3 linked regions of the Saccharomyces cerevisiae S288C genome follow. The protein of the gene in region 3 interacts with the protein of the main gene of each other region in a biochemical or structural test. Each region holds a gene or a part of one and is shown on either strand. Other genes may lie near its edges. The genes, in order: PRP43, PRP46 and YJU2.

Region 1 (3,758 bases), on a different chromosome or scaffold from region 3:
ACGGACTAAAAGTAAATAAAAAAATATCTTTCATAATATAAAGATATGCATATATACAAATAGCGGGGAAGTATTTTAAACTTTATAGGCAAAAATCTCTTTAAAAAGCTTTGCACAATGAACAGACGCACCCATTCTTGCACACAAAAGAAAAATGCCACTAAATTTTCTATGTAACGAGTATGTTTCCTCTGGTGGCGGACATAGTCTTTCATTCAACATTAACCCGATATTACCTCTAATCCTGTCTGAGACTGTTTGATCCTTGAAATCGAAAGATTTATCTACATCACCCCTAAAAGGTTCACCAAGTGTAAGTACACTATCGACGTGCGCGTCTTTCATGGACTGCGATTCTAAGCCTGTGAGATAGCCCAGTTGTACAGACATTTCGTACGCCCCTTTCCTATCTCTCAATGTGGCGTAAGTTAAAAGTTTTCTATATTTTAGAATAAAATCTTCTGCAAAAGGTCTGGAGGCACCGAAATCCAATAATTCAATTTTCTTTGTCCTACCGTTATAGAGGAAATTTGCCCAATTAGGATCCGTTTGCATATACTTGAAAGTGGCAATTTCTTCCAGACATAGTCTCATGATATTCTCCGAAATAAAATTTTTGGTTTCTTGTGATGCCTTGGGCAATTTCATTATTTCAGTTCCCTCCATACGTGTCATAGTTATAATATTATCGGTTGTATATTCAGGAAACACATGAGGAACCTCAAACGCTGGGTCATCCTTTAGCAACGCCTCAAACTTTTGTAGAGCTCTAGCCTCTCTGTTGTAATCACATTCCCATTTTAACTCAGTTCTAGCGTTGGCAATTGTCTTATCCAAAAATAATCCCTTCGGTAATAAACTTGAGGCTGTAAGTAACATTAGTAAACTATTCAAATCCGAATCAATGGATTCTTTAACCCCAGGATATTGAATTTTGACAACCACTCTTTGACCACTGGGCAACTCTGCCGCATGTACCTGTCCGATACTAGCAGCTGCCATAGGTATCTTGTCAAATTTGGAAAACTTTGTCTTCCAATTAGCACCTAATTCCTTGGCCATAACCTTTTCCAATTGCCTTTGAGGCATATGATTTGCACTATTCTGTACCCTTGATAAAATTTCGTATAATTCCTTTGGCAACACTTTCTCATCCTGAAAAGACAATAGTTGCCCTATTTTAAGGGCAACACCTCTCATTTTAGAAAATTTATTGGTAATTCTGTCAATATTCGAATCTGATAGAATCAAAGATTTCCAAGTGGGAGAATTGCCCTTTGCAACTTCCGATATGCCTTTTGCTGCGGCATTCATGCCCACCCCTGCTGCCAGTGAGCCATAATGGAACAATCTCGATATTCGTGAAGTTGGTACACTGGAACTTTTTAATGTATCCTTTTTTTCCTCCTCATGCTTCCTTTCTACGTTTTCTTCACCTTCTTTGGCAGATTTTGTAGTATATTTCTTACTCAACGATATTGAAGAAACAGAAGAAATTCTCCCGTTCTGTATAGTTCTTAAGAGACGGGATGAACAATACAATCTCCTTAAATTCCTCAATTTCACCATATTTGTAACCATATCGAACGATATCTTAGCCGAACAGGTCCCAATAAGGATGCCAAGGAAGCGTACTGAGTACAGTACCAGAAAGATCTTAACTAATTAAGATCATCTAAAAAAGTACTGGGTACTATTACAGATCTAAAGCTTTACAAATGAATATTACCCGGATCATAGTTTGCTGACTGATAGTATATAGTTATGGACAAATTTCATCATTTTCCAAACTAAGGTCGTTTAGTTTTACGCTCTGTATTCGTTTGCTGTTTCAACTGACAGTATCATTTCGGAGTCCCATAAATCTACCAGATTGCTTTTTATTGATCTAGCGATCTTATACACAAGTCCTTTTTTATTTCTTTTTCTTTTTTTTCGGTGCCTCTGAAAAATTTTCAAATGCGAGATGAGGTGAAAAGAAACTTATTCAATTGTAATATTTAACACGTTTACGGGGATGCGATTGAGTAACGATAGTATAACCTTATAAACGCGCATAGAAAGATTAGGACTGCAAGAATAATAATGGGTTCCAAAAGAAGATTCTCGTCCGAACACCCGGATCCAGTTGAGACCTCTATTCCTGAGCAGGCCGCCGAGATTGCGGAAGAATTATCCAAACAGCATCCTCTTCCATCCGAAGAGCCACTTGTCCATCATGATGCTGGTGAATTCAAGGGCTTGCAACGTCACCATACTTCAGCAGAAGAGGCCCAAAAACTTGAAGATGGAAAAATAAATCCATTTACCGGTAGGGAGTTTACACCAAAATATGTTGATATCCTGAAAATTAGAAGAGAATTGCCAGTACATGCCCAGAGAGATGAGTTTTTAAAACTTTATCAAAATAACCAGATTATGGTTTTTGTTGGTGAAACAGGTTCCGGTAAAACGACACAAATTCCTCAATTCGTTTTATTCGATGAGATGCCACACTTAGAGAACACTCAAGTTGCATGTACTCAACCTCGTCGTGTCGCAGCAATGTCTGTTGCACAGAGAGTTGCTGAGGAAATGGATGTCAAGTTGGGCGAAGAAGTTGGTTATTCTATCAGATTCGAAAATAAAACTTCTAATAAAACGATATTGAAGTATATGACTGATGGTATGTTGTTGAGAGAGGCAATGGAAGACCATGACTTGTCGCGTTATTCATGTATCATTCTGGATGAAGCGCACGAACGTACACTAGCTACTGATATTTTGATGGGTCTTTTGAAGCAAGTAGTCAAGAGGAGACCTGATTTGAAGATAATTATTATGTCTGCTACTCTGGATGCAGAGAAGTTCCAACGCTACTTCAACGATGCTCCATTACTTGCCGTTCCGGGCAGAACATATCCAGTTGAGCTATACTATACACCGGAATTTCAAAGGGACTATTTAGATTCTGCCATTCGTACTGTTTTGCAAATTCATGCCACTGAAGAGGCTGGCGATATTTTGTTATTTTTAACTGGTGAAGATGAAATTGAAGACGCTGTCAGAAAGATTTCCTTAGAAGGTGATCAATTGGTTAGAGAAGAGGGATGCGGACCTTTATCCGTATACCCACTGTATGGTTCATTACCACCGCATCAACAACAAAGAATATTCGAGCCTGCTCCAGAGTCACATAATGGTAGACCAGGCAGGAAAGTTGTTATCTCCACGAACATCGCTGAAACTTCTTTAACAATTGATGGTATTGTCTACGTCGTTGACCCAGGATTTTCAAAGCAAAAAGTTTACAATCCAAGAATTAGAGTTGAGTCTTTACTTGTTTCCCCTATCTCCAAGGCTTCTGCCCAACAAAGAGCTGGTCGTGCTGGTCGTACAAGGCCTGGTAAATGTTTCAGATTATACACTGAAGAGGCATTCCAAAAGGAACTGATAGAGCAAAGTTACCCAGAAATTTTACGTTCCAATTTATCCTCCACCGTTCTAGAACTAAAAAAATTAGGTATTGATGACTTGGTCCATTTCGATTTTATGGATCCACCGGCTCCGGAAACAATGATGAGAGCCCTTGAAGAACTAAATTATTTGGCATGTCTGGACGACGAAGGTAACTTAACACCCCTAGGTAGATTGGCATCCCAGTTTCCCTTGGATCCTATGCTAGCGGTGATGTTAATTGGGTCCTTTGAGTTCCAATGTTCTCAAGAAATACTAACTATAGTGGCCATGCTATCGGTTCCAAACGTGTTTATTCGCCC
Region 2 (3,758 bases), on a different chromosome or scaffold from region 3:
GACTTGGTCAAAAGTTGCTGAAGGGATGATAAAAATGTATAAAGCCGAAGTCCTTAGTAAATTGCCCATCATGCAACATTTTTACTTTAGCGAGTTTTTGCCTTGTCCGGATGGTGTATCTCCACCAAGAGGCCACATACATGATGGGACTGATAAGGATGATGAGTGCAATTTTGAAGGACATGTTCATACTACTTGGGGAGACTGCTGTGGTATAAAGTTACCGAGCGCTATTGCGGCTACTGAGATGAATAAAAAACATCATAAACCAATACCTTTTGATTAGGAAAAGTCCATTTATAGATGCTATCTCATTGTATATACACGTATACAGGGTACGTACTTTTTCCATCTACTCCCACTAAAATCTTTTGGCGCTTAAGTTGGGGTTCCACGCTAGCCCCGGTTCTGACTCTTTTGTAGCCGTCTCATCCTGTTTCCAAATCTTTATGCTTTTGTCTGCTTCTCCAGTGATTAATCTTAAACCTGTTTTATCGAAAGTGCTACAAAGAACACTCCGTTCACCTTCCAGAGAGCCTACCATTTCTCTCGTGGCCAACGATTGGTATTTGTGACCAGACTTATAATCATAAAAGGAAAGCACACCATTGTCACCGCCAGCGAATAATACATCATCTTGATTAATGCTTAAAGTATTGATTATGCCTGTCTTTTCAGACTCAAAATTGGTGAGTAAAGACCCCTCTGCTAATCCCCATGATCTGATGTCATCAGTACACGCAGAAGCCACCGAAAACTCCTTAGGATGCAACGCTGTAGCTCTCACAGACCTCTTATGATGTGTTAGAACTTTCATTGTTTTCCCAGCAACTACATCCCATAACCTTACCGTAGCATCAGTCGATGAACTCACCACTTGAGGGTCTACTGGAGTACACTGTACTTGATTGATTGGACCCTTATGCCCAACTAGTGTAATAACAGGTATTCTGGTTCTCATATCCCAGAGTTTGATAACGCTATCTCGGCCTGCGGTAGCTATGAGATCCAGCGTTGGATGTATGCTCACCGTACGAACCCCCGATAAATGTCCATAGTAATCTCTAATAATTTGGTTTTTCTCTAGGTCCCAGCATTTGACCGTCTTATCTTCACTAACAGAAAATAAATAAGGATGTCGATCTGACACAGCAACGTCTCTCACTGTCATTACATGCCCTGCTAAGGTAGTTTTTAATTTTCCTGTTGCAAGATCCCAAACTTTCATTGTCGTATCATTACTTCCGGTGATGAACCATTCGTTGTCAACAGGATCGATTGCAACGCATCGTACCCATCCAAGATGGCCATTGATAACGCGTGAAAGTTTCCAGGGTGCATGCCATTCCGGCCTTTGTGACAGAAGTTTTTCGTATCGATTAACTATAAGTTCTTCAGCAACCTCTGGTTGGAAAATTTTATTCACAAAAGCAGATGCATGCGTATCGTGATCTTTCTTGCTAATCACTGCTTGTGATGCTTCTGAAAAATCTGTAGGAACATGCTGCAGAGTAACTTTCTTGCCTTCACCACTAAAAGAAGAACTTTCCTTCCTATAAGTATCATATCGCATTAGCAATGATTTCTGACCTTCCATTTCGCTTTGTAGGTGGGGCGGCAGAGTGGCCATATATGAAAATTGGTTATTCCAGCGTATTCTGGAATAAAATTTGTCTACATCTCCTAAATTTTCGACTTTGTGATCATTTCCGTCCATTCTCACTAATCTCCATGTAACACAGTGTCTGCATCCTCGGAAATGGTTTTAAGATGCAATGAAGTGGGTAATAATTACTGTTAGCTTCACATCTTGAATAATCTTTTATTGCCAAAATTGTAGCTTTTCCGTATTAGATGATGAAGAATTTTGAGCACCCTTACTTAATAAAAGAGTTGTTGAACTCGAAATAGGAATACGAGATGAGGAGTAATTCTCTGAAAGTAGATAGCTCCTCTTGTCACATTGAATGCTACTTTATTGTGACTATAGGTGATTTAAGCGAACGAATGTTCTTAGGTCATCGTGGATTTGTGTGGTGATTTTCGGCTTATCTTAACAATGTTGACCGCGTGGACCCTCCCAATCTTGACAACAGAACACTTATCAATAACGGTATACAATAAATATCTTGTATGAATTAAATAAAGTAACGTTTTTTCCCTCATATCATTCCGAATCATTACGAAAATTCCAATACCTGTATTTTGAAGTCAACAAGAGTTTCGTTATCCGAATACTATTTTTTGTATCAATAAATTTTGTTTCGTTTTTCATTAATAACTAGTCACTGTGTAGTGGAAGCAAGTTCTCCTTATCCGTTGCCAAGAGACAATAAAAGACCCACATATAGGTGAATATACTGCTCACCATGGTTAATCCTGTTGGATCCTCGAAATTGGAACAAAACAATATAAAAAGCATTATAGGATCATCGTACAATCGACTATACAGCCAATTTACTTCTGATGAGTTGACAGAAGTGGGAAACTACAAGATTTTAAAACAAATAGGTGAAGGAAGTTTTGGAAAAGTATATTTAGCGCTCCATAGACCAACACATCGTAAAGTCTGCCTAAAGACGAGTGATAAGAATGATCCCAATATCGTTAGAGAGGTATTTTACCATAGACAGTTCGATTTTCCTTATATTACAAAGCTTTATGAAGTGATAGTGACAGAATCAAAAGTGTGGATGGCATTAGAATATTGCCCAGGGAAGGAATTATATGACCACTTACTTTCTCTGCGTAGAATATCGTTATTGGAATGCGGAGAGTTGTTTGCACAAATTTCAGGTGCTGTTTACTATGCACACTCAATGCATTGTGTTCATAGAGATTTGAAGTTAGAGAATATTTTATTAGACAAAAATGGAAATGCAAAATTGACGGATTTTGGTTTTACGAGAGAATGTATGACAAAGACGACATTAGAAACGGTTTGCGGTACCACAGTTTATATGGCACCTGAATTGATAGAAAGAAGGACTTATGATGGATTCAAGATTGATATATGGTCATTGGGAGTGATACTATACACATTAATTACGGGATATTTGCCATTTGATGATGACGATGAGGCTAAAACGAAATGGAAAATCGTCAATGAAGAACCGAAATACGATGCTAAAGTTATTCCGGACGATGCTAGGGATTTGATCTCACGATTATTGGCTAAAAATCCGGGAGAGCGCCCATCGTTGTCACAAGTTTTACGCCACCCTTTTTTACAGCCTTACGGTTCAGTGGTTTTAGATCAGACTCAGAAAATTTTGTGCAGACAGCGCAGTGGAGGGACTCAGTTTAAAAGTAAATTAGAAAGGCGATTGCTGAAGCGTCTTAAACAATCAGGGGTTGATACGCAAGCAATAAAACAATCAATTTTGAAAAAAAAGTGCGATTCACTCTCGGGTCTATGGTTATTGTTGTTAGCCCAAGGGAAAAAGCAAGAAAATTGCAAATATCCAAAAAGAAGCAGGTCCGTTTTATCAGTCAAAAAAGTTATTGAAAGTGCTACGCATAACGACACTAATGGCATTAGCGAAGATGTTTTGAAACCCTCACTTGAACTTTCTAGAGCTGCTTCATTGAGTAAAATGCTCAATAAAGGCTCAGATTTTGTAACATCGATGACTCCGGTTAGCAGAAAGAAGTCTAAAGATTCAGCAAAAGTTCTGAATCCTACTCTCTCTAAAATATCCTCACAAAGGGCTTATAGTCACTCTATTGCAGGTTCTCCTCGCAAGTCCAATAATTTC
Region 3 (3,495 bases):
CAATGAACTTTTGTCCTCACTACAATTGCCCCTCGGATGGATTTGAACTTACAAGAAATATCACGTTGGCGCGCGCTAAAGTCGCTTGCCAATGCGCTATGAAATTTTCATGACCTGGCACATTTTAGCACAGTGCCATTAATCCCTTTATTATGGGCATTGATGCGACTTTAAAACTGTACCTTCCTTCGCACATGCTGAATTTTCTTAATGAGATTCATCTACGATGCTTTAGAGCTAGCCTTGTTTTCTTTTTTATGCTTCAAGAGTAAGTAGTGAAGAACCCCACTAGACAAATACTAAGGGATGCTGCAACCACGTCTTATACTTCACCCATACATAACATTGGAATCTCATTAATTTTTGCAAAGATATGGTGAACAAGTTTCAAAATAAGAATGTATGTGTACCGAATCGTAGCTCGAGGTAATAATGAAAAAAAAAATCGGACATCTGGAAAGTTACGAATATAGAAGCAGATACCCCTCTTGACGGCAAACATTGTGTGCTCGACCTTCTATCCCGTTAAAATATCATAATAAACAAACCCCTCCCGCGAAAACAAAAAAAGAGAGCTAAAAAAAGTACTTCTTCGCGTTATAGATGGTGCCGCACCGTACGTCATAACTAAAAATAGCGTTAGCCACAGCTCCCTGAACGAAAAGGGCCCTTCGGCCCGATTGGAATACGGGTCCGCTTACGTCTGTGCGTGCGGGTTGTCCCACAACGGTAACTTACTCCAGGAGAGCCATCTCGAAGGTGCCACAAAAGAAAACAAAAAAAACAACAAACAATAAGCTCTGTGGTTCACGTTCAATGTAGTGTTTTTTCACCTTTTAATTTTGATAATTTGTGGTGCAGAAAAAAAAAAAGCAAACAAACAAAATCTCAATTATTTAAAGGACGATCTTAACGTTTCTTTCTTTCGCTATCTTCCTTGAATTTTTTTTCTGTCTGAAGTAAAATATCCCGTAACAAACTAATAAATACTACGAAAGTCTCAAAAAACAATAATGAAATTCTCCACTGCTTTGTCTGTCGCTTTATTCGCCTTGGCTAAGATGGTCATTGCCGATTCCGAAGAATTCGGCCTGGTGAGTATCCGTTCCGGCTCGGATTTACAATACTTGAGTGTTTACAGTGATAACGGCACTTTGAAACTTGGCAGCGGTAGTGGCTCATTTGAGGCAACTATTACCGATGACGGTAAACTGAAATTTGACGACGATAAGTATGCTGTTGTCAATGAGGATGGCTCATTCAAAGAAGGTTCTGAGAGCGATGCTGCCACTGGTTTTTCTATTAAAGATGGCCATCTAAACTACAAGAGCTCTTCTGGTTTCTACGCTATCAAGGACGGGTCGTCTTACATTTTCTCTTCTAAGCAATCCGACGACGCTACCGGTGTTGCGATTAGACCAACTAGTAAGAGCGGATCTGTTGCAGCAGATTTTTCTCCAAGCGACTCTAGTTCCTCTTCATCTGCTTCTGCTTCGTCTGCTTCCGCATCATCTTCTACAAAGCATAGTTCGAGTATAGAATCTGTCGAGACCTCTACTACTGTGGAAACTTCCTCTGCTAGCTCCCCAACTGCTTCAGTTATCTCTCAAATTACTGATGGACAAATCCAAGCTCCAAACACAGTTTACGAACAAACAGAAAATGCAGGTGCCAAGGCTGCCGTCGGCATGGGTGCTGGTGCTCTAGCGGTCGCAGCTGCTTACTTGTTGTAAGTACGAGAACAAAACCTGCATGTTTTATTTCCTTCAATATAGCTTTCTACATAATGATCACTTACATATAGCGTAATGTAATATGAAATGGCCCATAATATTCTCTTACATTGTCCTCCTACCTACATTCCTTTTCTTGCATGCAGCTCTCACATTCCCCGATTCGCTTGAAAAATTTAAACTTGTAGAAAAGTAGGTGAATGTCCCGCCGGCGGTTTCTCTGCTGCATGTAGAAAGATGGATATACAGAAAAGGAGATAAGAGTAGCTATCTCAAGTTTGTTCCACTGACTGCTAATACGCATAGAGTTGTTATTTATTGTACATATTCGAAAAAAAGCAAGAAATCACTACGGTGACCTCAGTAGAACGAACTAATAAGTCAAACCAAATTAACCGTTTCCAGGCTGATAGGAGAATACAAGAATGTCTGAAAGAAAAGCTATTAACAAGTACTATCCACCGGATTACAACCCACTGGAAGCTGAAAAGCTATCCAGGAAAATGGCTAAAAAACTGAAAACCATGAATAAGAGCCACGCATCGATTAGATTAATGACCCCATTTAGTATGAGGTGTTTGGAATGTAACGAATATATTCCCAAAAGCAGAAAATTCAATGGTAAGAAAGAGCTACTGAAGGAGAAGTACCTGGACTCCATTAAGATATATAGACTAACCATTTCATGTCCACGTTGTGCCAATTCCATTGCATTTAGAACAGACCCCGGTAATTCAGATTATGTAATGGAAGTGGGGGGCGTAAGAAACTATGTCCCTCAGAAACCAAATGATGACCTGAACGCTAAAACAGCTGTCGAAAGCATAGACGAGACACTGCAACGCTTAGTGAGAGAGAAGGAAATGGAGCAGAACGAGAAGATGGGTATAAAGGAGCAAGCAGATGACAAAATGGATTTGCTGGAAAAAAGACTAGCCAAAATTCAACAAGAGCAAGAGGATGATGAGGAACTTGAAAATTTAAGGAAAAAAAACCTTGAAATGAGCCAGAGAGCTGAAATGATAAACCGCAGCAAACACGCACAACAAGAAAAAGCAGTAACGACTGATGATCTGGACAACCTCGTAGATCAGGTATTTGACAATCACAGGCAGCGTACCAATAAACCTGGCAATAACAACGATGAGAAGAGAACTCCGTTGTTTAATCCTACATCCACTAAGGGAAAAATACAGAAGAAAAGCTCTGTGCGTACGAATCCGTTAGGGATAGTTATAAAACGAGGAAAGTCTCTCAAATGACCTAGAAAAGTAAGGAACGTACGATTGGTATCATGATCTCTTGTGATGCTGTGCTACTGTGGTTGCTTCCACACTATAGCGTCCATCGCTACTTACGAGGGGCGACAGCCCCTTCGGACTTCGAAGTGTCTGGCCGTTTTTTCATTGAATTTTCTTATAAATGAATACATATCGGAAAAGCCATTGTTGACTAAAGCAAGCCAAAGCCACACAAACCGAGGACAAATAGAAAAGCATGGCTCCGTATCCATACAAAGTGCAGACGACAGTACCTGAACTTCAATACGAAAACTTTGATGGTGCTAAGTTCGGGTACATGTTCTGGCCTGTTCAAAATGGCACCAATGAGGTCAGAGGTAGAGTTTTACTGATTCATGGGTTTGGCGAGTACACAAAGATTCAATTCCGGCTTATGGACCACTTATCACTCAATGGTTACGAGTCATTTACGTTTGATCAAAGGGGTGCTGGTGTTACATCGCCGGGCAGATCGAAAGGTG

The links.
Region 1: the proteins of YJU2 (region 3) and PRP43 form a complex in vitro, tested with the Saccharomyces cerevisiae proteins (one study listed by BioGRID).
Region 2: the proteins of YJU2 (region 3) and PRP46 form a complex in vitro, tested with the Saccharomyces cerevisiae proteins (one study listed by BioGRID).

What each region holds. Positions count from the first base shown.
Region 1 is NC_001139.9:282,265-286,022, reverse strand, and holds the start of PRP43 (DEAH-box ATP-dependent RNA helicase PRP43), read left to right. Parts: upstream 1-2,085; coding exon 2,086-3,758. Other genes in the region: protein kinase COQ8, read right to left, coding at 76-1,581. UniProt on the Saccharomyces cerevisiae protein: Pre-mRNA processing factor involved in disassembly of spliceosomes after the release of mature mRNA.
Region 2 is NC_001148.4:265,819-269,576, forward strand, and holds PRP46 (mRNA splicing protein PRP46), read right to left. Parts: upstream 1,718-3,758; coding exon 362-1,717; downstream 1-361. Other genes in the region: peptidylprolyl isomerase RRD2, read left to right, coding at 1-286; YPL150W (non-specific serine/threonine protein kinase), read left to right, coding at 2,370-3,758. UniProt on the Saccharomyces cerevisiae protein: Involved in pre-mRNA splicing. May also be required for cell cycle progression at G2/M.
Region 3 is NC_001143.9:260,119-263,613, forward strand, and holds YJU2 (mRNA splicing protein YJU2), read left to right. Parts: upstream 1-2,158; coding exon 2,159-2,995; downstream 2,996-3,495. Other genes in the region: CWP1 (Cwp1p), read left to right, coding at 1,014-1,733; YJU3 (acylglycerol lipase), read left to right, coding at 3,231-3,495. UniProt on the Saccharomyces cerevisiae protein: Part of the spliceosome which catalyzes two sequential transesterification reactions, first the excision of the non-coding intron from pre-mRNA and then the ligation of the coding exons to form the mature mRNA.